3 linked regions of the Arabidopsis thaliana genome follow. The protein of the gene in region 1 interacts with the protein of each later gene in a pairwise test. Each region holds a gene or a part of one and is shown in the gene's direction. Other genes may lie near its edges.

Region 1 (8,685 bases):
TTGGGAGAGATTGATCAAAACACTAAGAAGATGATAGAATCTGTGAAACCTAATTCAAGAACAAGTAGAGGTCCAAGCCCGAGTCGTGTTGCTGTTGTAGAACTTACGAAAGCTCCTCAAGTTGTGTTAAGCAGAAGCAGATCGTTGAGGAAATCTCGAGATTTCGATTTGGTATCAAACGAGGATAACAATTACACTGCATTGTTGTTGAAAGATATTCAGAGTTTTCATGGGAAGAGTGTTGATGATAGCGTGATTTCGCTGCCATTGTGTGTTAGTAAAGCTTGTTCAATTGTTGAAGCAGTGGCTGATCTTAACTCTATGACGAACAGAACTTGTTTGAGGTCTGATTCGAGCCGGTTTAGATTCACATCGACGGTGAAGAAAGCCGATCTTATGGAACCGAGTTTTGAGAAGTATGTGACTGTGAAGAGAGGTGGTGGTTCGTTGGAGGAATCATCTGGTAGCAACAATGTTACGTGACTAGGGAGATTCACTTTTAGCAATAACAGAAACTCGTGTTGTTGCGGTTTAATATGGAGAAATTGTTGTTTTGTTTGTCTATTGTTGTTTCCTTTGTTTGGTTTATTTTGTAATTCAGATGTCAATTTGACAATTTCAATGAATCTTCTTCTTATCTTCAGTCTGGCATAAAACCCAAAAAACCTGTATCGGACCCGAAACCAAACCAAATAATCATATAACCGGAGAGACTTTTAAATAATTTTACACGAATTATCCCAACTGAACCCGAACAGAAACAAAAACCAAACAGTATATCTGAAAAATCGAAACAATATCTACATATTCAAAATTATTAGATGTTTTAAATTATAATTATACCTTAACCAATTAACAAAAATATCCAAAAATATCTTAGATATATTATATATATCCAAAATATCCGAAAATTCTTAGTATTATACCTAAACTAAATGACAAAATTATATATTTTTTGTAATTCAATTTTTATTAAAATTTTGAAAAAATATGTAGTTTTTTCCAAAAACCGAACCAAATAATCATAGAACCCAAATATATACTAAATTTTTGTATCGGATGAATCCAAAAAATCTAAACTGAATCCGATCTGAACCCCGAACCATGCATACTTGGTGGATTAAACAGTTCGGTTCAGGTGAAAATTTTCAGAATTGTCGGTTTCGGATAAAATAACTAAACCGGATAAAATGTTCGGTTCGGTTTGAGTATTTCTTTTAACATTTCGTAGTTAAAAGCAACATCCAAAAGCAAAAACACACGCCGGAGAGTTTTCTAAGAACAACAGTGACGAAAAGGTTTTTAGGGTTTCTTTACCAATCAGAATCTCCGCCAAGTAACGATTTTCAGATTCCGAAGCAGCAAAGGTTAGAGCTTTTCCCTCATACGTTTCTTCTTCTGAATTCCTTGAAACCCTCCGGTGAACCAGAACCTGTTTTACATTCGTTTTCTATTCGGTGGTTTCTTTTAATTTAGGTCAAATTACACTGGAATTATCATTTGTTTCTCGTAATTCTGGATTTATGTTAAGTTTGGTGAAATCTCTCGTTGAGATGGATACGAAATCTATTAATTTTTCATTGTTATCCGTAAGCACACCAAGTGTTCGATGAAATTCCTAGTCTAATTTTTAGTAACCTTTCAGTTCAAATAATTTCCGAACTGTAACATGGCGGCAACTACTGGACTTGAGACTCTCGTCGATCGTAAGTTAGTCTTTTTTTTTGCCATTCTCGATTGATATGTGATGTTCTGTCACATGAATTGTCTAAAGATCTTATCTTTTGATTGGTTGCTGCAGAGATTATTTCGGTGATTACAAATGACGGACGCAACATTGTGGTATGTTATACTCTCTTGTGTGATATCTGGTTTAGAACTCCTTATGTCAATGCAAGTATCTTAGTAAAGAGATCGATTTTTATATTTTTTCAGGGAGTTCTTAAAGGTTTTGACCAGGCTACAAATATAATCCTTGATGAATCTCATGAACGTGTGTTTTCCACAAAGGTTAGCTTCTGATTCCTGTTTTAAAGTATTTTCATCTGAACTTTTCGATGTTACTAAATTGAATGGGTGCAAATACATTTTTCTGCAAGTAAATTGGCCAGTGTATGACCTGCAAAACCTTGTTGGTTTGTATCCATGAGTGGCTATGATGTAGCAGAGTTCTCGATGTCTCCATATTTTGTTTGTAGTGATCGCATAAAACTAGAAAAATAGAGGTACTATAAGGATGCTAGTTTATCTTTTGTTCATTGTCACTCAAAGCATCTTTCGTCGTCTGGTATTGATCTTTTAATTGGTACTACGTTCTTGCTAATAATGTACATTGCTTGATTTAGTTGCGTAGTGTCATCTTTTCAACAGAATATTGAGGAAACTTACTCAGATATTTAAGATAGGCCTTGTCCTACAGTTCTTTGTTTGGTAAGAGAATAGTGAATCATGAACTAACTGGCCTCTGAATGGAAGTATCTAAATCAGATAGTGTTGGATACACCGAAACAGATTTAGTGTTAGTATTCTTCGAGTGTTATAACTGATTGAAAAAATCTTGTGAGTTCATATGTCAAAAGATTTAGCTAGTGATAGGTAAGTCAAATACGTAGATATTGGCAGTGTGTAATTAATTATACATGATCACCTCCTTTTTTTCGTAAGAGGGTTAAAGGTTTGATTCATGTCTGTTTTCTTGTTTACACTAAGAGTATGTCAGGTCATGTTGATACTTCATTAGACAAATGTTCTTGGATATTTTTGGTGTGAAGGCAGAGTTCTGTTAAAATGATGGATATTGGAATTAGGATTGAGACCTCTTACTATGTCTTCATCTTTGCAGGAAGGAGTACAACAACATGTGTTGGGTTTGTACATCATCAGAGGGGACAACATGTAATTCTTATCATCCATCATCATCAGTGATTTTCTAACATTGCAATTGTTTTTTTGTTTCAATAAAAAAAATGGTGTCATCTTTGATCAGAGGTGTTATCGGGGAGCTGGACGAGGAGCTTGATGCTAGTCTGGATTTTTCGAAGCTGAGAGCCCATCCGTTGAAACCCGTAGTGCATTGATTGAATATAGTTATGGTGAGAAAATCTAATTCTCTCATTCAAAGCCTAAAAACAAAGAGAAGATTTGATTGTAAACAATTTGGATAGTTTGTTTTGATGTCTGGAGTTGTCTTATTTGTGTATCCTAAGGACAAAAGCTATATGATATTTTATGTCTTAAACGTTTTGGTCGGAAACTTAAATCATACAATCTTTTGGACGGACCTAGGTTTGCTACTAGACCACAAATTCTTTGATTAGAAAAAAAACTTTTATTGTTAACCAAAATTTTATAGATATTCAAATTGCAAAAGAAAAAAAAAAGAGGAATTAGTTTCTGGTATCTTACAAATTATAATGTCGTTGCAATTTCATCTAGAAGGATTATATACATCATCAAATCTATCAACATCAACAAATGGCCGTATTTAAAACTTAGAAGCATCATACATTTTCTATAAGACAACAATATAGATATTAACTTAATATGTCATTCTCCCATAGTCGCATCATACAAGTCGTTGGTTTTGGTAATAACTCGCCAAAACCAAACACTTCTGATTTCATCGGAGTCTTGGGTCTTCTTTTACGATTCCAATGTAATATTCTTCATATTAAGTGATTTATTTCTTGAAATTTTTCATAGTAAGTGTTATCAGAAGCTTTTGATTTTTGGTTATTAATATGAAGAACAAAAGAATTGCGTTCTAAAAATTTTTCGTTGATAACGATTAATATTAAACAGAAACACTACAAATAAATTAACATCGTTGGGGCCTAGGGATTTCGAATGGAATTTTATTTGCAAAAAAAATAATAAAATAAAGCATGTTAACAAAAAAGTAAAAGAAAAAAAATTCATGACGAAATGCATGAGAACACTGCTGCATAAGTCTTAGGGGATTAGGTCAACAAAAGTAAAGTAGATCTTCATCAAATGTATTTTGACTTTATAATGTACCTATTAGTCAAACTATATGCGATCTAAATATTAAAAACTTGTATTTTCTCAAAGACAATGCGAGGCGTAAATATATGAAATTTTATTTTGTAGATTAAGTACCATTTATATATGAAATATAAATAAATCAAGAAGAGTAAACATGAAAGAGCAAAAGAGTAAATAGAAAAAATTATAGGAAATAAAAAGAAACAAATAGTAATTGGAAAATATCTTAAGTGGATATAACTTTTAGTTGTTTGATAATGTATAGGACTACAATATATGTATTTTCCAAAAAGTCATCCTAATTTTTCCATCTATATTGCAAGTAATTTGATACCTACTAATGATTTTTATTTTTTTTATTTGATGGGTTCACATCAAACTCAATTTCCATAAAAGACCGCTACCTAAGCAGACACGCAAATTCACATTACACGTGTGATGTGTTGTATGGAAGCGAATGTACTTGTTTTTCATAATCTATAGGTTCATATAGAGAAGTCTCTCCATTGAAAAGTTCTTCCCTCTTGACTTTAAAAACTCCATAAGGTCCCTACTTATATTAATTTCCCAAACCCCTAAATAAGATCTACAAACAAAGCTTCTTCTTCTTCTTGGTGTCATCAAGATTTTCCAAAAATGTCTCAACACCAAAAAATCTATCCGGTCCAAGATCCAGAAGCCGCAACAGCGCGTCCAACAGCTCCTTTGGTTCCTCGTGGTTCCTCTAGATCAGAACATGGAGACCCATCCAAAGTCCCTTTGAACCAAAGGCCACAACGGTTCGTGCCGTTGGCTCCTCCAAAGAAGAGAAGAAGTTGTTGTTGCAGATGCTTTTGCTACACGTTCTGCTTTCTTTTGCTTCTTGTCGTTGCAGTAGGCGCATCCATTGGTATACTATACCTTGTCTTTAAACCGAAGCTACCGGATTACTCTATTGACCGGTTACAGCTCACCCGGTTTGCACTGAACCAAGACTCGAGTTTGACTACGGCTTTTAACGTGACTATAACCGCTAAGAATCCGAACGAGAAGATTGGAATTTATTATGAAGATGGGAGCAAGATTACCGTGTGGTACATGGAACATCAACTAAGCAATGGTACGTCACTTTTGGTTTACTCCGGTTTGCTTTCTTTTGGTTTTTTAACGTAGGAAGGCTTCAAAATCTCACTACAAAACCGGTTTATTTGGTTGATTTCTGTTCTTTTCCTTTGGTTTGGTTCGTACACAAGGAAGACTTTAAAACTCTTTTCAAATTAGGGATGTCTAAATTTTTTTGGTTGGCTTTGGGTTTACTTTCATTTTGGATTAGGATTGTCAAATACTGTATATCTTTAGTTTCAAACAAAATTTGGTTTAGATAGTTTTTGTTCGGTTCATATTCAATAGTTCGGATATAATAGAGTTAATTCATTCAAATCAATCGTTTTTGGTAGAGTTGGATCATACCGGTTTATCCGGACTGAAAACCCCAAAACTAAACATATTTATTTATGTTGTTTGGTTTTCTTGTTTGATTATAATTCGTTTACACCATTTCAAACCGGGTCTTCTTATAGATTTAACTTCATTGAACTTTTGTGATTTTTTTGAATAGGGTCGTTGCCAAAATTTTACCAAGGACATGAAAATACGACAGTGATATACGTAGAAATGACTGGTCAAACACAAAATGCATCGGGTTTAAGGACGACATTAGAAGAGCAACAACAAAGAACCGGGAATATACCATTGAGAATTAGAGTAAACCAACCGGTTCGGGTCAAATTTGGGAAGTTGAAGCTCTTCGAAGTAAGATTCTTGGTCAGATGTGGTGTATTTGTTGATAGCTTGGCTACCAATAATGTTATTAAGATTCAAAGTAGTAGTTGCAAATTTCGTCTTAGGTTATAGATCCGTTTTTTTTTATATAATTAATATCGAGATATACAGAGGGAATTTTGTCAGATATAGTCACATACTCATATATAGTTCTCCTCTAAAGTACATTATTGTGTCTCAGACCTTTGTTGTATAATAAACTGTTGGTTTAAATTAATATATTAAAGTATACAATACTATGTACATAGGTGGAATTCAAAGTATAGTAGTTGTAAGTTTTTAAAACCAGAGCATGTCCACCACTCCACCTTACCTTCTTTTAAGCAAACAATTGGTTGAAGGTAGACTCCAAAATTCAGTTTTAACTACTTACAACTTAAATTGGAGGTAACTCCAAGATCTTAGTTATGAATTCAAATTTGCATTAGATTTACTTGTTCCAACAATTACTTCTGGTATTCTAAAGCAAAGACCAAACTCAATAAATAAACCTTATGGTAAGACATTCCAAGCAACATGAAAGAGATAATAAAGAGACATAGATATATAGAACAAACTGAATTTTTGCGAGAAGAGAGAGACATGTAGAAAAGAAACGCTAAAAGAACTTACACAAAGAAGATTCATGTACTTAACTTGTGACAGTCCTCTGTAACAATTTGAGAACTATCCTCATGAAGTAAGGTCCTGAATCAAAAGTACAAAGAAACAAATTCCTAGTTCAAGTTATATACCAAACCGAAGTCTTTGTAGTTGTACAACCAGTTTCAGGAGGAAGGCTACCTTTGAAAGGTATTGTAACACTGGCTAGAGAATGAGCATAATGTCGATAATTTTTCTTTTGATGAAAAAAGATTTAGAGAATGGCAAAAAATATAATATATGCGCTCATATTGGTGGTAAGTCATATATCTTTCTATTATTCGTTACTATATCATAAGCTTTGTATATTATTTGGCCAAAAAAAAAAAGATTTGTATATTGTAGTTTGACTAGAGAAAAACAATGAAATGTGTCGGATTTCAAATTTGACAAAGAAAACTCTACTTAAAGTTCACAACTGAACGGTAAGTTTCATTAGGTTTCCAATTCGCCGGAATAACATTATAAGCTAGGACTACTTTATGAGATTCAGCAGAAGTAAGTCTGATGTTGAATGGTCCTGTTAGAGGACTGCCAGAGCTGATCTTCCATACAGCAGACCTCATTTCTTGCATGGGGATGAATTCTCCGTCGGCTGGTTGAATTTCTATATAGGCCAAATCTCCATCACCGTTTTCATACTCGACAACAAATGAAATGTAGTACGGATTTGCTCCAGGGTCCATACGGAAAGCTATGTTAGTTCTTCGATATAAACATTCCACGCTGATCAAAAAACAATAGTCAATATTTTGATTCGTATATCATAGAAAATAGTTGAATTTTAATTAAATAATATTTCTGTAAAGATAATAACAAAAATGAAAACATTGATTTCTTTGATTTATCAAAAAAAAAAAATTCAACTCAAAACCTAGATATACATACTAAAAGGAAAAATTTTAAAACAAAAATTATGTAAGTATATAAGTACCGTCTGTAGTAAACACGTAGAACACCAGCCGATCGAAGTCGATCGCCTTGGCCAGGTCTGGCTAAGGCACCCATGGCTTTGCCGCTAAGATCAAAGTGGGCTGGTTCAGAGGCACAAGGACCACCAGGGCATTCGTCGGTTATCGTCACCGTTATTGGTCTCCTCGAGCATGCTGGATGCCCATTGCATAGAATCTGATAAATAAAAATGTTAACATATACTATATAGTTGATGAAAGTAAAATCTTGTTGTAACCATATAACATACATTCAGATCTTGCATGCTATGTCAATTTTTTTTCCAACCCAAATTTTTAATGTTCATTCTGATTAATTAAAAAAGACATATGAACTGGTCATTTTATTGAATATAATTACACAATTTTTTTTTACGTTTTATGAACAATCTTAGCTACATATATATAAAATTGTATCATCTTTTCTGAAAATACTATTCTAACTAATATATTACCTAAAAAGCATTAACAAAGCTGACCAAAAGGGCATAAATTCTGTGTTACATACGTAACACTATGCTCTTGAGTCTTGCCCTATATACATTCATACAAACCTGAAAACATGTTCCACATCCTATTCCATTGTTGAACACTGAAGGACCTCCAGCTGAAACCATCCCGTATAATGGTGGATTAGCCACTGCGAAACCACAAGCTCCTCCTATATATAACCATATATATATACACATTTAAGCATCATATATATTCATATAAAGAATTTACTATTCTAAAATGTATGTGTGTATATATATATATATTGTTACAAATATGTAATTTTGTTAGTACCGGTGCTACCGGCGCCTAACTTAAAGAAACAAAGACACACACGATTTAACGAGTTCACGTTCCTCAACCGGAATCGCTACGTCTCGCCGGAGAATCTCTCCGGAAATCCACTAGAACCTTTCTTTACAATGTATCTTTACAAGTTTTCTCTCTCTAGTTCTCTCTAGAACTTGATTACAATTCTCTCTCTTTCTCTATCTCCGATCTAACAGAATTACAGAGAAGAAGAAGAAGATATAGTTACAGAGCTCATGCGAAAAGACCAAAACGCCCTCAAGCTTGTTATGACCTTAGTCAGCTCGCCTCACGTGTTATGACTTTAGTCAGCTCGCCTCACGTGTTATGACTTTAGTCACAACAGACTTCGAACCCTCTCTTTCACCGAGTTTCTCCCACACTTAGACCCGAAAACTAAAATCTGAGTCACTTCTTACAAATGGAAAATCAAGCTCTCCAATCATCACGTACGAAAGGTAAATTT
Region 2 (8,430 bases), on another chromosome or scaffold:
ACAATGTTTTATATTTCAGCAAAATGACAAGAAACAATGTTTTATATTTCAGCAAAACAATAGTGTTATTATCTTATAATTGTTTTTGTTTGAAAAACCTTTCTCTTTAAATATAAAGAAAAAACTTAAGGGCTACAAAGGGCCAGAAAAGGGCTCAACCCTGTTTTAATTTTTTTAGGGCTTAAAAAGGGGTAGGGCTCACTTAGGGCTGAGCTTTAAATAAATAGGGCTGGGTTGGGCTGGGAAACCTTTTTTAACATCCCTAATGATGATGATAAGAGATGCGTTTTAAGCTTTTTGGGGAGTCTTTTTTTTTTGGTGGAATGAGGGAGACTATGTCTCCCATTTTATTAAAGAAAACTAAAAGAAATTACAATCTAACAAGTCGCAGGCATGAGAGCCCTCTAGCGTCATCCAGCATAATCGAATTAACAAAATCTGGCTTAGTATAAAAAAAATGAAAACCTAAAGGAAGAGAGAACGCATAGTTTGCTAACCCATCCGCAAGGCGGTTAGCCTCCCTATACACGTATGAAACTCGGATTATCCAGTCCTTTGAAATGAAGCCATAGCACAACCGTACTAGGAAAGACAGTGGATGTGCATCGCTAATCCCTGTCGTCAAAAAGCCCACCACAATCTCAGAATCCACCTCAAGCCTGACTCTCGGAGATCGTCGTTCCCAAGCCATGTATAACCTATAGTAAACACCCCATAGCTTTTCGGGGAGTCTTGGATAGAGTTAAAATCATCTATACCATTTCTCCTAAGCTTTTTGATGCAGTGGCGCAACATTAAACCCCAATCTCATTTTCTTCAGTCTGCAGTTTGGTTTATAAATAAACTATCTATCACTTGATTAATAAATTAATCAAAGATTTTTGTTGATAATTTGGGTTTAACTGGATAAAAGGGTTAAACCACCAGACTCTGTCAACAGTAGGGAATAAATATCATCTTTATCTTTTATGTTTTCATAATAAGTATGAGCAGCCTCAATACTCATATTACATTTTCAATTTTCAACAAAATTGTTAATAGGAGAAGACTAAGTATAATACTATTCAACAACTGTTCAATAAAACAAAAACTAGGAAACAAATGGATTCAACAAGTAAAGGATGATAAGAGTTGAAAACTCATATATATCTAACTATCTCTTTATTATTAAAAGGGAAGTACAAATTGAAATTTTGTCTAATTTGGCCTTAATTTAGATTTCAATTTTGGATTTTGTTCTTTGCTATTTAAAATCATTAAGGATAATTTGGTCTTAACAATCTCCTAAACTTTACATGATCCGATTCAATCTAAACCGTTCAATAAAATTAATTTCCTTCAATCTAAAATGTTCAACAAAAATAAGGAATCTATGTCGTTTTTGAAATCAAAGTATGATCACATTCCATCCCTGAAAATACTATATTCAATCACGAAATCAATAATCAATAATATTCAAATTATATATTACGATTCTTCACTAATCACTAGAAATTTATATTTATAAATTTAAGATATTAAATTTATTCAAATATTTAGTATAAGAACCAAATAAACCGATTGCCCGCGGTAAACTGCTGGTTAAAGTTATTATTATTTGAGAAGGACTTTGAATTTGATACATCTAACTATTGGCAAGTGGGGTTGGGAAAAAAAGAATAAGATAAGACAATAGGATTCGCTTGGGCCAGACCATATCCAAATGCAACGAATAAAGCAATATAGATATTAACGACACGTCACTACAAATATCACAAAGATATGAATTCGTCAAAAATAGGAAAAAGAAGATCCGACCTGCCGGAATCGAACCAGCGACCTAAAGATTATCTGTTTTAAACAACTACAGTCTTCCGCTCTACCAACTGAGCTAAGGTCGGATGATGATATGATTCAACACTAAATATATTTATACTATATCATAAAGTATTTGAAAACGTGGAATTTTTTATTTATTTGAACACGTGGAAAATTCAAGAAGGTGAAAGAGATATTTTTTGGTTTCAATGATTTGAAACTGTATGTGCATATGGAAAATTCAAGAAGGCCAAAGAGATATTTTTTGGATTTTGATGATTTTTCCAGCCATTAGAATTTAGAAACTATGTACATATATATATACCAAAAAGACAACTCTTCTATAGTTGGACCGTGGACGGTGCCAAAGTGTAAAACAGATTGTCCACTTTCGTGTCAATAACACAATTATTTGAAAACACCAATCAAACTTGTCATGGTTTTGCAAGTCCAAAAGACCAAAAGGCCCTATTCTTTGTCTACATAAAGCTCACATGCATCTCTCTCTCTCTCTCTCTCGTTCATAATGAGATATTAAGATCAACAAAAGGAAAGAATGGCAAAAGCTATGGAGCTTTGGGTGGGAGAGATGAAGAAGATGAGTGAGAAGATAAACACTAGAAATCCATTGATGCAAAGGAAGAATTCAACATCTGTTGTGTCCAAACAACAACAAGGATCAGAAGAAGAAAGAGGACTTATTAACCAAAAGATTAGAGAGAAAAATGAAGCTGTAACTATGTCTGAGCTCACTGTTTGTCTTCTCATGGACCGTTTTGTTCCTTGGTGATCTTTCCATACCCAACTACTTCTAGATCTCTTCTTTGGTGATGTGTATATATATATCTAGAAACTACATGTAGTATGTCTATATATCAGATTTTGTTTGTGCAGACCATGTTTTTAAGTTTCCTTGTAAACCTGTGAAAGTAATGTGTTTGAGAAACATATTTTTATTACTTTAATCAATAGTGTTCAATTATTATTAACCGGGATTTATATGAAGATGGAACTTTCTATTCACTCTGTAATTAGGAACATTCGCATCATTCAGTAAGAAATAAAACAAGAAATGATTATAATTTTTCTAATAACGTAGGAATTCTGAGGGAACCCAAAACTAAAATTTGATTGAAAGATTTTGAAGTGGCCAATCATGAATGAGATTGCTGGAAGATATCATCAATATTCAATACAGATAACGATTTTTTTTTTTTTTTATTGATACCAAATGAGCTTTCGGCTTTTGGCCCAGACGGAAACAACGGTTACAAAAGGTTTGGGCTTTGGGCTTTGGGCTTTTGATCCACATGACGATCATATAGTTCTTTCCTTCAACACAAAACACTTGAAGTGTATCTTATCAACTAAACTCTATTCCAGCAAAATTATTTCAAAATTAGATATATGGGAGAATTTTTACAGGCCATTCTAGATTTTCATTAACGCTGTGATTTATCCGTTAATAAGTACGATTAAGAGTAAAACGACGTCGTTTGCAATTGAAACAAAAATCCCCAATTCAGAAATAAGAAACCCTAGATCCTCAAATCTCTTCTTCTTTTCTTCTTCGAATTCACTCCTGTATTTTGAAATCAAAGTGAATTGCAAGGCACAAAGTTCATGCTTTAAAGCACTGCAAATGGCGAAGTCATGATTTATATGGCATTTTTCCTGTTTTTGTTTCAATTGCAAACGACGTCGTTTTGCTCTTAAACGGTCTCATTAACGGATAAATCACATCTTCTAATTGCTCTGTTTATTCAGTTGATGTTGTGACTAATTTGGCTCTGTCAACGAAAGTTAGTGATTTTATCTGAAGTCAACACGTAATTGATGATTTTAATCACAAAGTACAAAGTTTATGTTTAAAGCACCACAAATTGCGAAGTCGTGATTTAAATGACATTTTTCCCGTTCTGGTTAAACTAAGTTTCTATTATTTAATATGGATATTGTGGAGCGTAGTGTCAGCACTCAGCAGCTTATTTAACGTGATACTCTTTAACCGAGTAACAACTAGTGAGGTCATATTCAGGACCGATCCAACAATATTGAGGGTTTTACTCCAAGTAAAATTTTAGTTTTATTTTTAATTATCATAAACGACATAAATATAATATGGAAAGATCACAAATACTGATTAAAAACTAAAATCATCAAAACGAAAAAGAAAAAAGAAAAAATTGGGTTCAACTCTCATGAGTTATTAAACATTTTAGGTTTTAGGCTTAAATCTTTAAAAAAAATCAGAACTGAAAAACGAAAAATTCTAATTTTATTTTGGACTCTGATTCATAGCTTATGTCGCTTATGTAGTTATGCTAGGGATGAATCTGTATTTCGTTACCGTAATGAGAGTTCGATACTCTCTTACTTGTTACGATTCTGGAGCATGTTACATTTTTTTCTTTCCGTCAACAACAACTTTAATATGGTAAAACAAAATTTATTTTTATTTGGCTGGTCCTACTCAAGACAAATCTTCTGCCGACATCACATAATCATATTAAAAACCATAACTTCTGCCACTCTGTTTTTTTTTTTTTTTGTAACCATTAACTGATTGGATTTTGATCCATCTCATCTGATTTTTTAGCTCAACAATTTACTTGCACATTTTCTATTTGGTTTTATTTATACTTAGTTACATATATGATTATCGAACTAGTATCTCTTTATAATTAAGTATTTTTCTATTTTTTTTTAATTTAGATTTTTGTGAATTCATTTACAGTAGAAAACTGTAAAACCATATGGTCTAATTATAGAATGAAAACTTCAACGAATCCATACAACTTATTGGCTAAATATAATAAATCTGCTTGAAGCATATTGTTATTATTTAGTTGGATTTGACGATCTCTGACTTTAATGTATACCGACATACCCTATGATTTAGATGTTGATTTTTCCCATTCTTAATATATCCATGTTAAGAGATTCCACCATAACATATCTAATTATTTGCATTGTAATAAATATTATCATTAAAAAAAAATACAACTGGACAGCTGGCTCGTCCCATTGTTTCTTACGTCCACCAATTACATTTGTTAAAGCAAACTTATTAGAACGTTCATGTGTGAGAAGTTGGTGTCGACATGTGTCTAAGGTCTATGTCAGAAATCGGATTAGCTTATTAAGTAAACTATACTATATCATTGTTAATATAGATAAAATATCTAGTTCGTCCAAATTAAACTATTTTCATAACTGCCACGTGGCGTAAACGTATCCATCGAGTCACTTGTAATATCTTTATAACCAAAGTCTTCCAACACATTCATCACCATCTATCTACTCTTTACTCTCTTCTCTTCTCACATCAATTATTCATAGTTCTCTCTTCTCCGGCAAGAAAAGATGCCTATGAAGTCGTTGAGGAATGACCATGGAACCCTTAAGGCCATGATCGGATCCGATTTCAACGAGCTCACTATCGCTGCTAAGAACCTAGCTACACACGCCTTCACACTCACTGGTTTAGGCTTTGGTACCTCTGTCCTCGAATGGGTTGCTTCAATCGCCGCCATGTAACCATTCTCTCTGTTTCTATGTCTCTTTCCTCTATCCGTTTCTTGTGTTGATCTTGATGAGGTTTTGATGTAATAAATGCAGATACTTGTTGGTGTTGGATCGAACCAATTGGAAGACGAATATGCTCACATCACTTCTCATTCCTTACATCTTCTTCAGTCTTCCTTCCTTGATCTTTGGTATTTTCAGGTATAACACAACAAAAGCCAGAGACTTTTTCTTTACTTATCATTATGTTCCTAAACCCTAACTTGTGTCTGAAACTTTGACAGAGGAGAAATTGGTAAATGGATTGCTTTCGTAGCTGTTGTTGTACAACTCTTCTTTCCTAAACACGCCAGAGGTTTGTCTACTTTTTTTCATTCACTCTCCATTACAAGCAACAAGACTTTGATTCTGATTTGGCTTATCTCTGTTGTTTGTGTTATTAGAATACCTGGAATTACCGGTGGCTTTGGTTCTTCTCGCCGTGGTGGCACCAAATTTGATTGCTGGCACATTCAGAGACAGTTGGATTGGTTTAGCTATATGTTTAGGTATTGGATGTTACTTGCTTCAAGAACACATTAGAGCTTCAGGTGGATTCAGAAATGCATTTACTAAAGCCAATGGTATCTCCAACACCGTCGGGATCATCTGTCTCGTCGTCTTCCCCGTCTGGGCTCTTATCTTTTAAGTTAACTCTTCAGTTTCTTTTTCCATTTGTCTTTTTTTTTTCATGTAAGAGTGATTGCTTTGTACGATCTGTCTCTCCTCGTAACTCTATCAATGAATGTGATTTGAATAAGAATTGCTTCAGCAATAAGATATCATCATGAGGTGTTAGTGTGGAATAAATCTCCTCTTTCATCATTATAGCTTTAATGGGTAACGTTGTATCATCTTACAATGTGTACCACTTCTTACCGCTTTCTCGTACCACCACAAAACTTGTCCACATTGTGTCACCAATTGGTTTCTATGTGGTTTTGTCATCTTTGCTTCACCAGCTTACCAACGAAGCTCAACTTTTCTAGCTTTCTTCTTCTGCTCTTAGCTTGAGTGATTCAGCCATTTCTATGGCCAACAATGCTGATGTTTCCTCATCACCTACTATTCCATACCCGTCGATAAAAGCTCTATACGTCTCTTGACTCGGCTTAAATCCTTTCCCAACCATCTCAGCCTGAATGTTCAATGCTCTATCCATCTTCCCATCTTCACACAACCTCTTTACCAACAACTCATAACAATTCCGACTAGGATAAAACATTGCTTCTCTCACCGCATCCTTCACGATATCCGCAGCTTCAACAACTCTCTGTCCATCCCTATCATCACATAGCCCTTCAACTAACGCTTCAATTGTTAAACCATCTGCCTCAAAACCTTTCCTTTTCATCTCCCTATAAACAACCAAACCCGAATCAACATCCCCCGCTTTACAATACCCGTTAACAAGATGCTCATACGTCAAACAAGTACACTCAATCCCCTTCAACCCCATATCTCGAAAAAGCTCCTTCGCTTTCACAACTTCAAAGTTACTACAAAGCCCACCAATCATAGTGTTATAAGCCACAATATCATAAACCACTCCTCTCACCTTCATCTCTTCCCATACCTTCTCCGCTTCACTCATCAAACCTCGCGCACAATACGCCTCCATCAAAACATTATAGCTATAAACATTCGGAGAACATCCAACTTCCTCCTCCATTTCTCTCCATATCCTCTCCACCATCTCAGTCTCACCTTCTCTATAAAAACTCACCATCATCGAATTAAAAGTGGTCGCATTTGGCTTAATCTTACCTATCATCTTTTTAGCTTCATCAACACTAACATCATCTAAACCAAAAACTTCTCTATACATCTTATATCCATTAGAAGCACCTCTACGCCTAGAAACCTCTGTGATCAAAGCATTACAAGTACTAATCTGTGCATTGATTCCTCTAGACCTTAACTTTCTCATAACCATCACAGCTCCATCAATCTCTTTCGAATCAAGACAAGATTTTATCAACAAATCGAATACAAACGGAGCAGAGCCACATCGATTATAACTCTTAATCAACGAACGGAACACTTTCAAGACTCTGTCTTCGTCTTCGTCGGTGGCGGCGAGACGGAGAGCGAGACGTATGATTTCACTAGCGTGGCTTTTGAGACGAGATCGAGAGAGGATGTGGATGAGAGTTGAGCAGGAGTGTGTGTCGTGAGAGCAGAGAGAGTAACGGCGAGTGAAGAGGAAGAAACGGAGAGAGAGGTGAGGATTGTTGCGGAGGCAGAGAGTGATTTCGGAGAATTGAGAAGGTGTGAAGCCTGAAGGCTGGAGTGATCGGAGAGTGGACCAACGGGATTTGGAGCGGTGGTGTGTTAGGATTGAGACGGCGTCGGAAATTAGAGGATCTGATGGCGGAGACGGCGGAGAAGAGACGGTAGTGAGGAGAGAGATTGAGAGGATTGCATCGGGTTTGGGTTTCCGGGTCGGGTCGAGTATCCGTCTTAGTATTGAAGTTGACATTTTAAAAGTTTCTTTTACTTTCGAGTTGAACTCTCACAGTTTTATACTCTGGTTTGGAGAAAAACTGGGTAAAAAAATCTGACAAAACAGCCGATTCCTGCATAAACTTAGCTAACTATGAACTGAAAGAAACATATACGTGGGGTTATTGGCCCAAAGACATATATATGGTTCTCTTATGCAACTCCCGAGTACTCTCTTTCTTTGCATGGTTGATACATGATCGGATAGTATCAGAATTTTTCACATTGTTTGGGATTAAGATTTTTAAGTATTATATAAACGATGTCACAATTCTTAACTCTTGAGCTAGCTTTTGGGTTAAGTTAGGCCACATTTCTAATAGATAGACAATGTTTTTTGTTATAATGTTGAAGAGAGAAAAAATCACCTCTTCTTCTCTTTTTGATACTCATCGTAAATATGGCTTTTCTTACGCATAAATTTTGTGGGATTGACTTCCACACCAATTAGAATTAGGTTCTCTCTTCTCTACATAACTTAACTCTTACCTCCGATTAAACTCTTCCTCCTAAGGTATGTCTTCCAATCGACGATTTACCGCATTTGGAGGGAAAGAAACG
Region 3 (8,510 bases), 6.2 Mb from region 1:
AATAGGGCTTAAGATCCTAGGCATTTCTTATTGGATGAGATATAACTAAAGTGTTGAAAAGTTCAATTAATAAGCACAGCCCCACTTAACAATGAGAGTTCAATAGAGTAATTGAGCTTTTCCACAAAAAAGAAGGGTTATTGGTTAACAACAGAAGACTGTGGTTTACAGGTAGCATATGTCCATTACACGCATCTTAGATGGTATCAAATCATATCTGGTAATATGTTATTGAGCTTGTGAAAACTGCAACGAAGTATTTGTAAGTACAAAAACTGCAACAAAGTTTTCCTAAGCACATCTTTTGCTGTGATAAATTGCAGGTTTAGCTTAAGTAATGCCCTTACTTCAACATGCAATGGTCTAAAATTGTTCAACTCTCTCAACAATCTATAAATTTTACTTCAGTTAACTACTGGAACAACTGTAGGATATCAATAGATCATAGCTGTAATTTATAACAAAGATGTTCAAATTTCTGCTACTATCGCAATTATTATAATGTTCTTTTGGTGGGGGAGAACTATCCTATTATATTAATACGCGTTAAAAGTATGTAAATACAGAAGCACTAGAGAACAATGATAGCTTTAGAAGATAATGTTTCAAAATACTATCTTAGTGCTTTAAGAAAATCTTGGCCACTTATTGGCCTAAAGACCTTGATCAGTAAGATAGATTCATGTCTAACCTTTTTGTAATATAACATATATTGTAACTATGCTAATAGTATTATAAAGAAAGTTTCGTCGACATACCGTTATAAAGCAAAAGAGCTGCTACACAATAGGCTCTGCCTATTCATCCTAGCACATACCGAAGTTCTCTACATTATCATGACAAGAAAAGATATTTAGTAGGAACGATGAACAAATAGATATTTAGTACGAACGTTGAATAAATAGATATTTACTCAACAGATATTTAGCAGGAACGATGAACAACTAGATATTTACTTAACAGATATTTAGTAGGAAAAGTACTTAAAAGTACACCGAGAGACAAACACTGAGAATAGGCGTTCAAGAGTAAATGATTAAAGAATAGGTTCCACCAAAGAAATTCATAGATTGAAAATCAATAATGGTACATGCATAACTAAAAAAACAGGATTAAAGCTCTGTGTTTCAGTATTTCCAGTTTCTTGCAAAAGTGAGCTCTACTTATAACGTTCCTGAAATTTTTTTAATGACACTTTAAAACCCATTGGATCCAAACTCTTACTTGAGTATTCCAGAAATATTCCAATTCTCATGTTATTTCACCTCAAGAGAACCATATACATGCAGACATTTAGATACTTGGGAATTATCAGAATAAAATTTGCAAATACTACCCAGACTTAAACATATAATAACGTTAATCAAATAGAATCTAGCTTATCAAGACTCAACACAGGACAAAAATGATAAAACAAAGTTTTATAATTTAAAGTCGGGCATAAATAAATGATTTCCAAATTTAATGTTGGAAAAGTGATAGTCCCTATACACAAGCATCTTAGGGTTGGAGGAGGTATGGGCCAATGGCACAATCAGCACTCAAGTCTCATTTGAAGAAAAAAAAAACTAAAAAGAAGAAACCCCACTTTCTTAGAAAAATAGTATTAGATAAAATACTCAGTCCCCACAGTAATCAGTAAGCATCTCGAGCTATATTTAAGACAACTTTGAATTCCTCAGAACTTAAGAAGCAATAACCAAAGAAAGCCAACAAAGCATAGAGAAGCGACTTTGACCTTAAGCTTTCTCAAAGAGTAAAAATGTCTGCAAATGAGTTACCTTCTTCAGCTCAAGCCTTCCAAGAACAATTCCTTGGCGGTTTTGTCTCTAGAAAGCTGCTTCTGCACAACCCATTTGACCACAACACTCAACGAGCCTTTGCGGTTGCACCATCTCCTCTCATAACCCATGAGAACAACCTCAGTGGGAATGTTATGATGCTTCTCTCAATCCTCATTTGTGGCATTATCTGCTGCCTCGGGTTACATTACATCATTCGTTGTGCACTCAGACGTTCTACACGTTTCATGATCTCCGAGCCTGTACCAAGTCTTTCGTCAACACGGGGTTCATCAAACAAAGGAATCAAGAAGAAAGCTCTTAGAATGTTCCCAGTTGTGAGTTACTCACCTGAGATGAACCTGCCAGGGCTTGACGAAGAGTGTGTCATTTGTTTGTCTGATTTTGTTTCCGGTGAACAGCTCAGGCTGCTCCCCAAGTGTAACCACGGGTTCCATGTTCGTTGCATAGACAAGTGGCTTCAACAACATCTGACTTGTCCAAAATGCAGAAACTGTCTGGTTGAGACGTGCCAAAAGATATTAGGTGACTTCAGTCAAGCTGATTCAGTTACGGCAGAACCAACAGAGATCGTAATTGTCACGATTGTTCCTCTAGAACCAACAGAGATCGTAATTGTCACGATTGCTCCTCTAGAACCAACAGAGATCGTTATTGTCATGATTGCTCCGCTAGAACCTGAAGGAAGAGTAAACACTATTAGAGAAATCAGCTAGATGCAAAGAAAGACAGAAACCATCAGCAATTCAGAATTTGTACTTCTAATTTTTTTATGACTTTCTTTTTACCTGTAGCACAAAGTGTATACAGAGTGATTATGTTTCATTTTCAGTAGCATCTCATGAGTCCATCAAACTTCCTTTGTAAAACTATTTTTACGGTGGAATGTGAATTTTGCAATCTTATCCAAAAACATCAAGATTCATCTGATAACCAAAGATTGATAAGTGCTGGTCGTATATTCTTATGTGTCATATCAGTACACTGAACCAAAACGTCACTAGACAGAATAAATGGTTTCCCAATAACTAATGCCAAGAGTTAGTTGTGTGAAGAAGCAGTGTGTAGTCTACCATATGGAATTATGGTCCAGACCTGGTCCCATGTACTCTTGATAATGACAAAAGCACAAAGTTTGTGAAACAAAATTACATCTATCTACATGAATCAACCCACTTAATAATTAATCTATATGCCTCAAAACCGATCCACACGCATAAGTCATCAAAATAGCAATTACCATGAACAAGACAAAAAAGATAAAAAGATATTAGTAAGAACTATGAACAAATAGATATTTACTTGACAGAAAGAAATTATTAAGTAGGGAGAATGATCAAATAAATATTTACTTTACAGATATTTAGTAGGAAGAATGACCAAAAAGATATTTTATAGATATTTAGCAGGAACTAAGAACAAATATATATTTAATCAAAAGTTCACCAAAAGATGAACACTGAGAAATGGCGCCAAAGAGTAAATGATTAAAGAATAGGTTCCACCAAAGAAAGTCAATAATGGTACATAAATGATTAAAAGACAGGACTAAAGCTCTGTGTTTCAGTATTTCAACTTTCTAGCCAAAGAGAACTATAATTAAAATGTTTCTGAAACTTTTCTTATGGCTCTTAACACCCACTGGATCCAAAACCATTTCCAAATCATAAATGCATCCAGCAAAAATGTTCTCAGAAATATTTCAAATTCTCACCAAGTTGCGTTATTTCACCTTAAGTCGTGTCGTGTGATTTCACCTCGATATGTTGGTAACATTTCACTTCCATCATTCAAAAAAAAAAACGGTGAATGACCAATTTTAGTTTGGATGATCTTTCTGTCTGTTCAGATTTCTCATCTTCATCCATGTTACCCCTGCAGTTTTAAAGTGAATGAGTATCAAATTAAGATATTCCCAACAAACGAATCATTATAGCATATAACACAACAAAAGTAAAGTTTATTTGCTTTAAAGAAGGTACCAAGAAAACAGACCACTATATATATTTGTACCAGTTATATGTAACCTAATGGCACAGACAAAAGAAAAAAGGAATCCATTTCCGAGTGAGACTGGTGAGAAAAGATAGAAAAGATGCATCTCCTACTGTGTAACATCAACTTTTTATCCCAAAGATACACAATCTTCCCTAATCTAATGTTTCACTAAACCAGCTATTAGGAAAGTAGCAAGAAACAATGTTATACAAAAGCACATATCAAAGAATCTTGCTTTGATTTTGGAGCTACAAGAAAAACATTAGATACTAGATTCATGTAGATTTCCCTCGCAATTTGCAACCAATGGAAGAAGATATCTCATAAAGCAAACAAAAAGAATCATTTTTTATTCGTTCATCCGTGGGACCAATTCCTTTACCTCTGATTTAAAACAAAGGCATGTAAAGATAAAGAGAGAGAGAGAAACTGTTTACTGAAAAAAAAGCAGGAGGTGGATACTAATGCTATGAGAGTGATAAAAGTAGCCTTTAACAAGATTGATTGGGAGAGGCTTTGTCCTTTTGGCTACTCTATGGACAACTTGAGTTACTACGAATGGGGTGGATTCCTGTTCCCCAAACATAAGTAGAGTTCACTAAATGGAAATATTTCATCCGTACACTCTCAAAACCGCACAAAATCAACAAAACTTTTAAGATTCCACCACTGTTAAAAAATAGCAAAAAGGGAAAGAAAAGAAAAGTTAAATCAAACCTTGCTTTATATATGAGAAACTCCTTTACAGGTTAGACACATATGTGATATATCACTGGGTCAGAACTATCTACCGAAACTCGGTTTTCATCAAGACCATAAGTAGAAAACATATATTATAAGCCCTAACAGGCTAATATCAAGGAACAGTGAGATATCAGTAAAATGAGCCAGGAGATATTAATATTTGAATGCTGCTATATCAAAGATAGGGAAAGTTCATGGCTGCTCCAGTTAAAAAGCTCATGGGTCCCTAGAAGCAATTCTGGGAGATATGATTTGCTAAGGCCACAGCCACATGGCACTACTATTGCAGCAACTGGTATGATGGACCCATTTTATATAACAAAGCATATTACGCTGCAAATGATTTTATAAAATTAGACACTAAAGGTAAAGGTCCATAATGTGAGCTTGATCTTTATAGCTTCTTATTCATCCAACCATAAGTTTTTCTAAATGAAATATATAAAAAAAAATTCCTCATTAAATATCTGAAAAAAAATTGAAACTTTACCTTTCCTCTATATAAACAATTAGCCTCCAAACCTTTACTCTATATAAACAACCTCCAACGGAAACACAGAAAGCCACCAATCTATCTTAAAACTAAGTTATCATGTGCACTACCATTTCCATTTCCATTTCCACCATAAAACCAACTGAGATCTTTCAAGAAATTCTTGGAAGTTCTTACTCAAGAAAATTACTATTTCATACCCATGATCAATCACCAACTCCAGCACCATCCCCATATGTAGGCGATAACAACTTTGATGCAAATGTTGTTATGGTCCTATCAGTCCTCTTATGTGCACTTGTTTGCTCACTTGGACTCAATTCTATAATAAGATGTGCCTTGAGGTGCTCCAATTTAGTACCATCTGAAGCTGGTGGTGACAACTATCCTGTTCGCTTGACCAACACAGGAGTCAAACGAAAAGCCTTGAAGAGTTTCCAGACAGTAAGTTACTCTACTGAACTAAATCTGCCTGGCTTAGATACCGAGTGTGCTATCTGTCTCTCGGAATTTGTAGCCGAGGAACGTGTGAAGCTGTTGCCGACATGCCACCATGGATTCCATGTCCGTTGTATAGACAAGTGGCTTAGTTCACACTCGTCCTGTCCCACCTGCAGGCACTGCCTCATCCAGACATGCGAGAAGATTGCCGACTGCAGCCAAACAAGCTCGTTAAACTCTACTCAACCACCACAAGACAGCATCATTCTCCAAATAGCACCACTAGAACCGGAAAGATGGATACGCTGGTTTAGGTGAACTAGAACTAGTCACCTAGATATTTGTAGCAGCTATGATTAAACTACTATGTTTTAGAATTATTTGAGATTACAAGCGGTCTACACTTAAAAACAAGTTTAGCATTTCAACTGTAAAGTTGTAAATATTACGAGAATGTTACTTTCTTCATATCTTGAACTACTAAATGTTTATATTTCACAGTTACAAGCCAATAAAGGAAAATTTCATTAGATCTGCAAATACTCACACTGGAAAACAAAACATAAACAATTCAAAAATCAAATGTACAGGATGATGAGAAGGAAAATCACTGAAAGGCTTAAAGCAATAGTTTAGTGGAGGTGGCCAATACACTTAGTCAACTAAAGAGAGATGTCATAATCTTTACCATTATGAAGTTTCAAGGTTATTAAAGTCAGGCTCTGCCACTAGCTTATTTTACTGATTATCATAAGGGTTACTACACTTTTATATAAATCATACAATAACATAATGTACCCTTCCAGAGGTAGAAGAGTCTTCTTGCTTTGTTATTGAACAAATTAAGTTGTAGGCTGTGACAATGCGAAGCCCCGGAGAAAAATGTCAAGGCCCACAAATGAGAGAAACATGCAATAATATAATCCATCGAAAGGAGAACAAGAGAGAGAGGTCACCACCATAAGAAACAGCACAAAGCGAATGGGGTCCGAGGACGAATCCCACCATATGGTCAAATCAAATAATACTAAAAGGGGAGGTTCAATGTTATACTGACCACATGAAGAAAATGAGTGACCACAATAATTCAACAACCGGCATTTACCAAGATCAATTTCATAGATAATGGATTATGAAGAGCTGCAATATCAATTACTTAGAAGTAGAACTTTAAAAAAAGCAGTACGTGTAACAGTACTTTACTGACTAGCTAAAGAGAGATCCTTAGTAGTAATCTAGAAACTCCCATCAATATGGTCACTAATCTCCAAATAAAGAAATTGATAAACAAGTTATGAGGTGGACGAACGAAATTGTAAACCCTAGATACCAAAATGGGGAAACTTTGCATCAACCAAATGAGATTATCTTCTGAACTAATTACGTATCGGGATTAAACAATGAACAAGAAGAAGTAAACAAGAGTACATGAAATTGAAAAAATCAAGTTTCGCTCCAATCAAATTGACAATAAGGAGACAAAGATACGAAGTTCAAATGAAGCTGTACGAAAATACCCAGAAAACTATGTGAAAAATGGGGAATTTTCTTACCGTATTCGTTGATGAAGATCTGCTGAAGACGACGAAGTAGCAATGTTCAGAGATTGTTCGCTTTGTTGGCGCCAATGATTTTCAGAAATTCTCTCTTGAAACCAATATCGGATCTTCCATAGTTTCCACTCGGGTCGGCTTTTAACGGGCCCATTTATATAAAGCCCATTTAGCATTTTTCCTAAATCGGGTGTTTTTCTTATATCAAAATAGAAAGGGATTTTTTAAAATATCTCTTTGTTGGTTATAGTTTATAAACATTTGGTTTAACAAGTTATAATGAATGTGGTGAGCCACTCATTACAAGAAATTATTTACAACCACATGAGAAAAGAAAAAAACACATAGGCTATTAATGGAGGCAGCGGACAAAACGGTCTAATTTATCTGCGGTTTAGTCCATTTCATTTTTGGGATGGATAATAAACCGTTGCGGAGCAAGTTTATTTGTATGTAAAAATAGTTCGCAGATGGTCCGCTGCGGGTTTTTTCTTTTTTTTTTTGTTTGGACCACTGCGGACTATAATTGATGAATGAAAAATAAAAAGCGGTTTGATCCATTGACGGTTGTGTCCGCCCCAACCGCCGTAACCATTCACAACCCATGTTGTAAAACCAAGAATAACAAAAAAGATTGTTAATTGACTTTTTCCGATATTATATCAAAACGTGGCCGGTCATATAACTTATATATATGTATTATTATATATCAATGGAGTGTCAGTTTAATATAGTCATGATCATGAGTAATGTAGTTTCATAATGATGGGGCACAACGTTCTTAAGGGTAGTACTACCAACTCAATTTTCTCTCGGCATGTGCTGTACACATGGTTCATAAAGTTGACTTTTGGATTTCCATCTCACAACAGCTATTTCTTTTCCGGTTTTCTACCGGTTTGCTCCGGTTAGTGGACCAACGTTAAAAGTTTAGTTATGACAGTTTCTTGGGTTCTACACATCTTTTGATTTCTATTTACCCTCGTAACAAAAATAGAAGATTTTGTAGTTTTCTTTTAATGGTACCTACCTCATGTGGATTGTAACTACCTTTTGTTGGATTCATTATTGTAGGTACATATATTTGTGGTTTATATCCATCCACTCTCTTATATAGATCAAAAATATATAACTAAAAAATAAATTTTATCCCCAAAATGTAATTTAACCGAATATTTGATTATTTTCTAATCCGATTTTTAAATTATATTTGAATAATTTTGGTTCTTCGGTTAGATTCGGGTAGTTTAATTTTGGCTAGGTTATCGATGGAAACTAGTTTAAATTTGGTAAAAAACGGTATAATTGTGGTATAATCTGGTTATAAACAACATATAATTTAGTTAACTGATAAGTGATAACTGAACTAAAGCAAAATACTTGGTTAATTGAAGTAAAATTCAAATTTAACCAATCTGTTAAGGACATGTAACTTTTCAAAGCGAACAGCTAAAATCTTGGTTCGGCCCAATTTGGTTA

What was found.
Region 2: the proteins of AT1G65690 (region 1) and COR413-PM1 interact in a protein complementation assay, tested with the Arabidopsis thaliana proteins (one large-scale study listed by BioGRID).
Region 3: the proteins of AT1G65690 (region 1) and AT1G49230 interact in a protein complementation assay, tested with the Arabidopsis thaliana proteins (one large-scale study listed by BioGRID).

What each region holds. Positions count from the first base shown.
Region 1 is NC_003070.9:24,428,855-24,437,539, reverse strand, and holds AT1G65690 (Late embryogenesis abundant (LEA) hydroxyproline-rich glycoprotein family), read left to right. Parts: upstream 1-4,374; 5' UTR 4,375-4,641; coding exon 4,642-5,104; intron 5,105-5,602; coding exon 5,603-5,898; 3' UTR 5,899-6,123; downstream 6,124-8,685. Other genes in the region: AT1G65710 (serine/arginine repetitive matrix-like protein), read left to right, coding at 1-483; LSM8 (Small nuclear ribonucleoprotein family protein), read left to right, coding at 1,670-1,706, 1,802-1,842, 1,936-2,010, 2,354-2,430, 2,712-2,763, 2,843-2,895, 2,987-3,077; EXPB6 (beta expansin 6), read right to left, coding at 6,870-7,194, 7,403-7,596, 7,973-8,079, 8,205-8,223, 8,639-8,665. UniProt on the Arabidopsis thaliana protein: Plays an important role in the abiotic stresses-induced abscisic acid (ABA) signaling and biosynthesis. Acts as a positive regulator of ABA-mediated seed germination inhibition. Functions downstream of ABF2/AREB1, ABF4/AREB2 and ABF3.
Region 2 is NC_003071.7:6,945,000-6,953,429, forward strand, and holds COR413-PM1 (cold regulated 413 plasma membrane 1), read left to right. Parts: upstream 1-4,851; 5' UTR 4,852-5,163; coding exon 5,164-5,333; intron 5,334-5,418; coding exon 5,419-5,526; intron 5,527-5,609; coding exon 5,610-5,680; intron 5,681-5,768; coding exon 5,769-6,013; 3' UTR 6,014-6,026; coding exon of another isoform or gene 6,027-6,061; 3' UTR 6,062-6,193; downstream 6,194-8,430. Other genes in the region: AT2G15960 (stress-induced protein), read left to right, coding at 2,354-2,587; AT2G15980 (Tetratricopeptide repeat (TPR)-like superfamily protein), read right to left, coding at 6,350-7,846.
Region 3 is NC_003070.9:18,204,184-18,212,693, forward strand, and holds AT1G49230 (RING/U-box superfamily protein), read left to right. Parts: upstream 1-5,010; 5' UTR 5,011-5,136; coding exon 5,137-5,796; 3' UTR 5,797-5,994; downstream 5,995-8,510. Other genes in the region: AT1G49220 (RING/U-box superfamily protein), read left to right, coding at 1,763-2,518; AT1G49225 (uncharacterized protein), read right to left, coding at 2,129-2,272, 2,356-2,480, 3,607-3,677, 4,435-4,469, 4,962-4,964.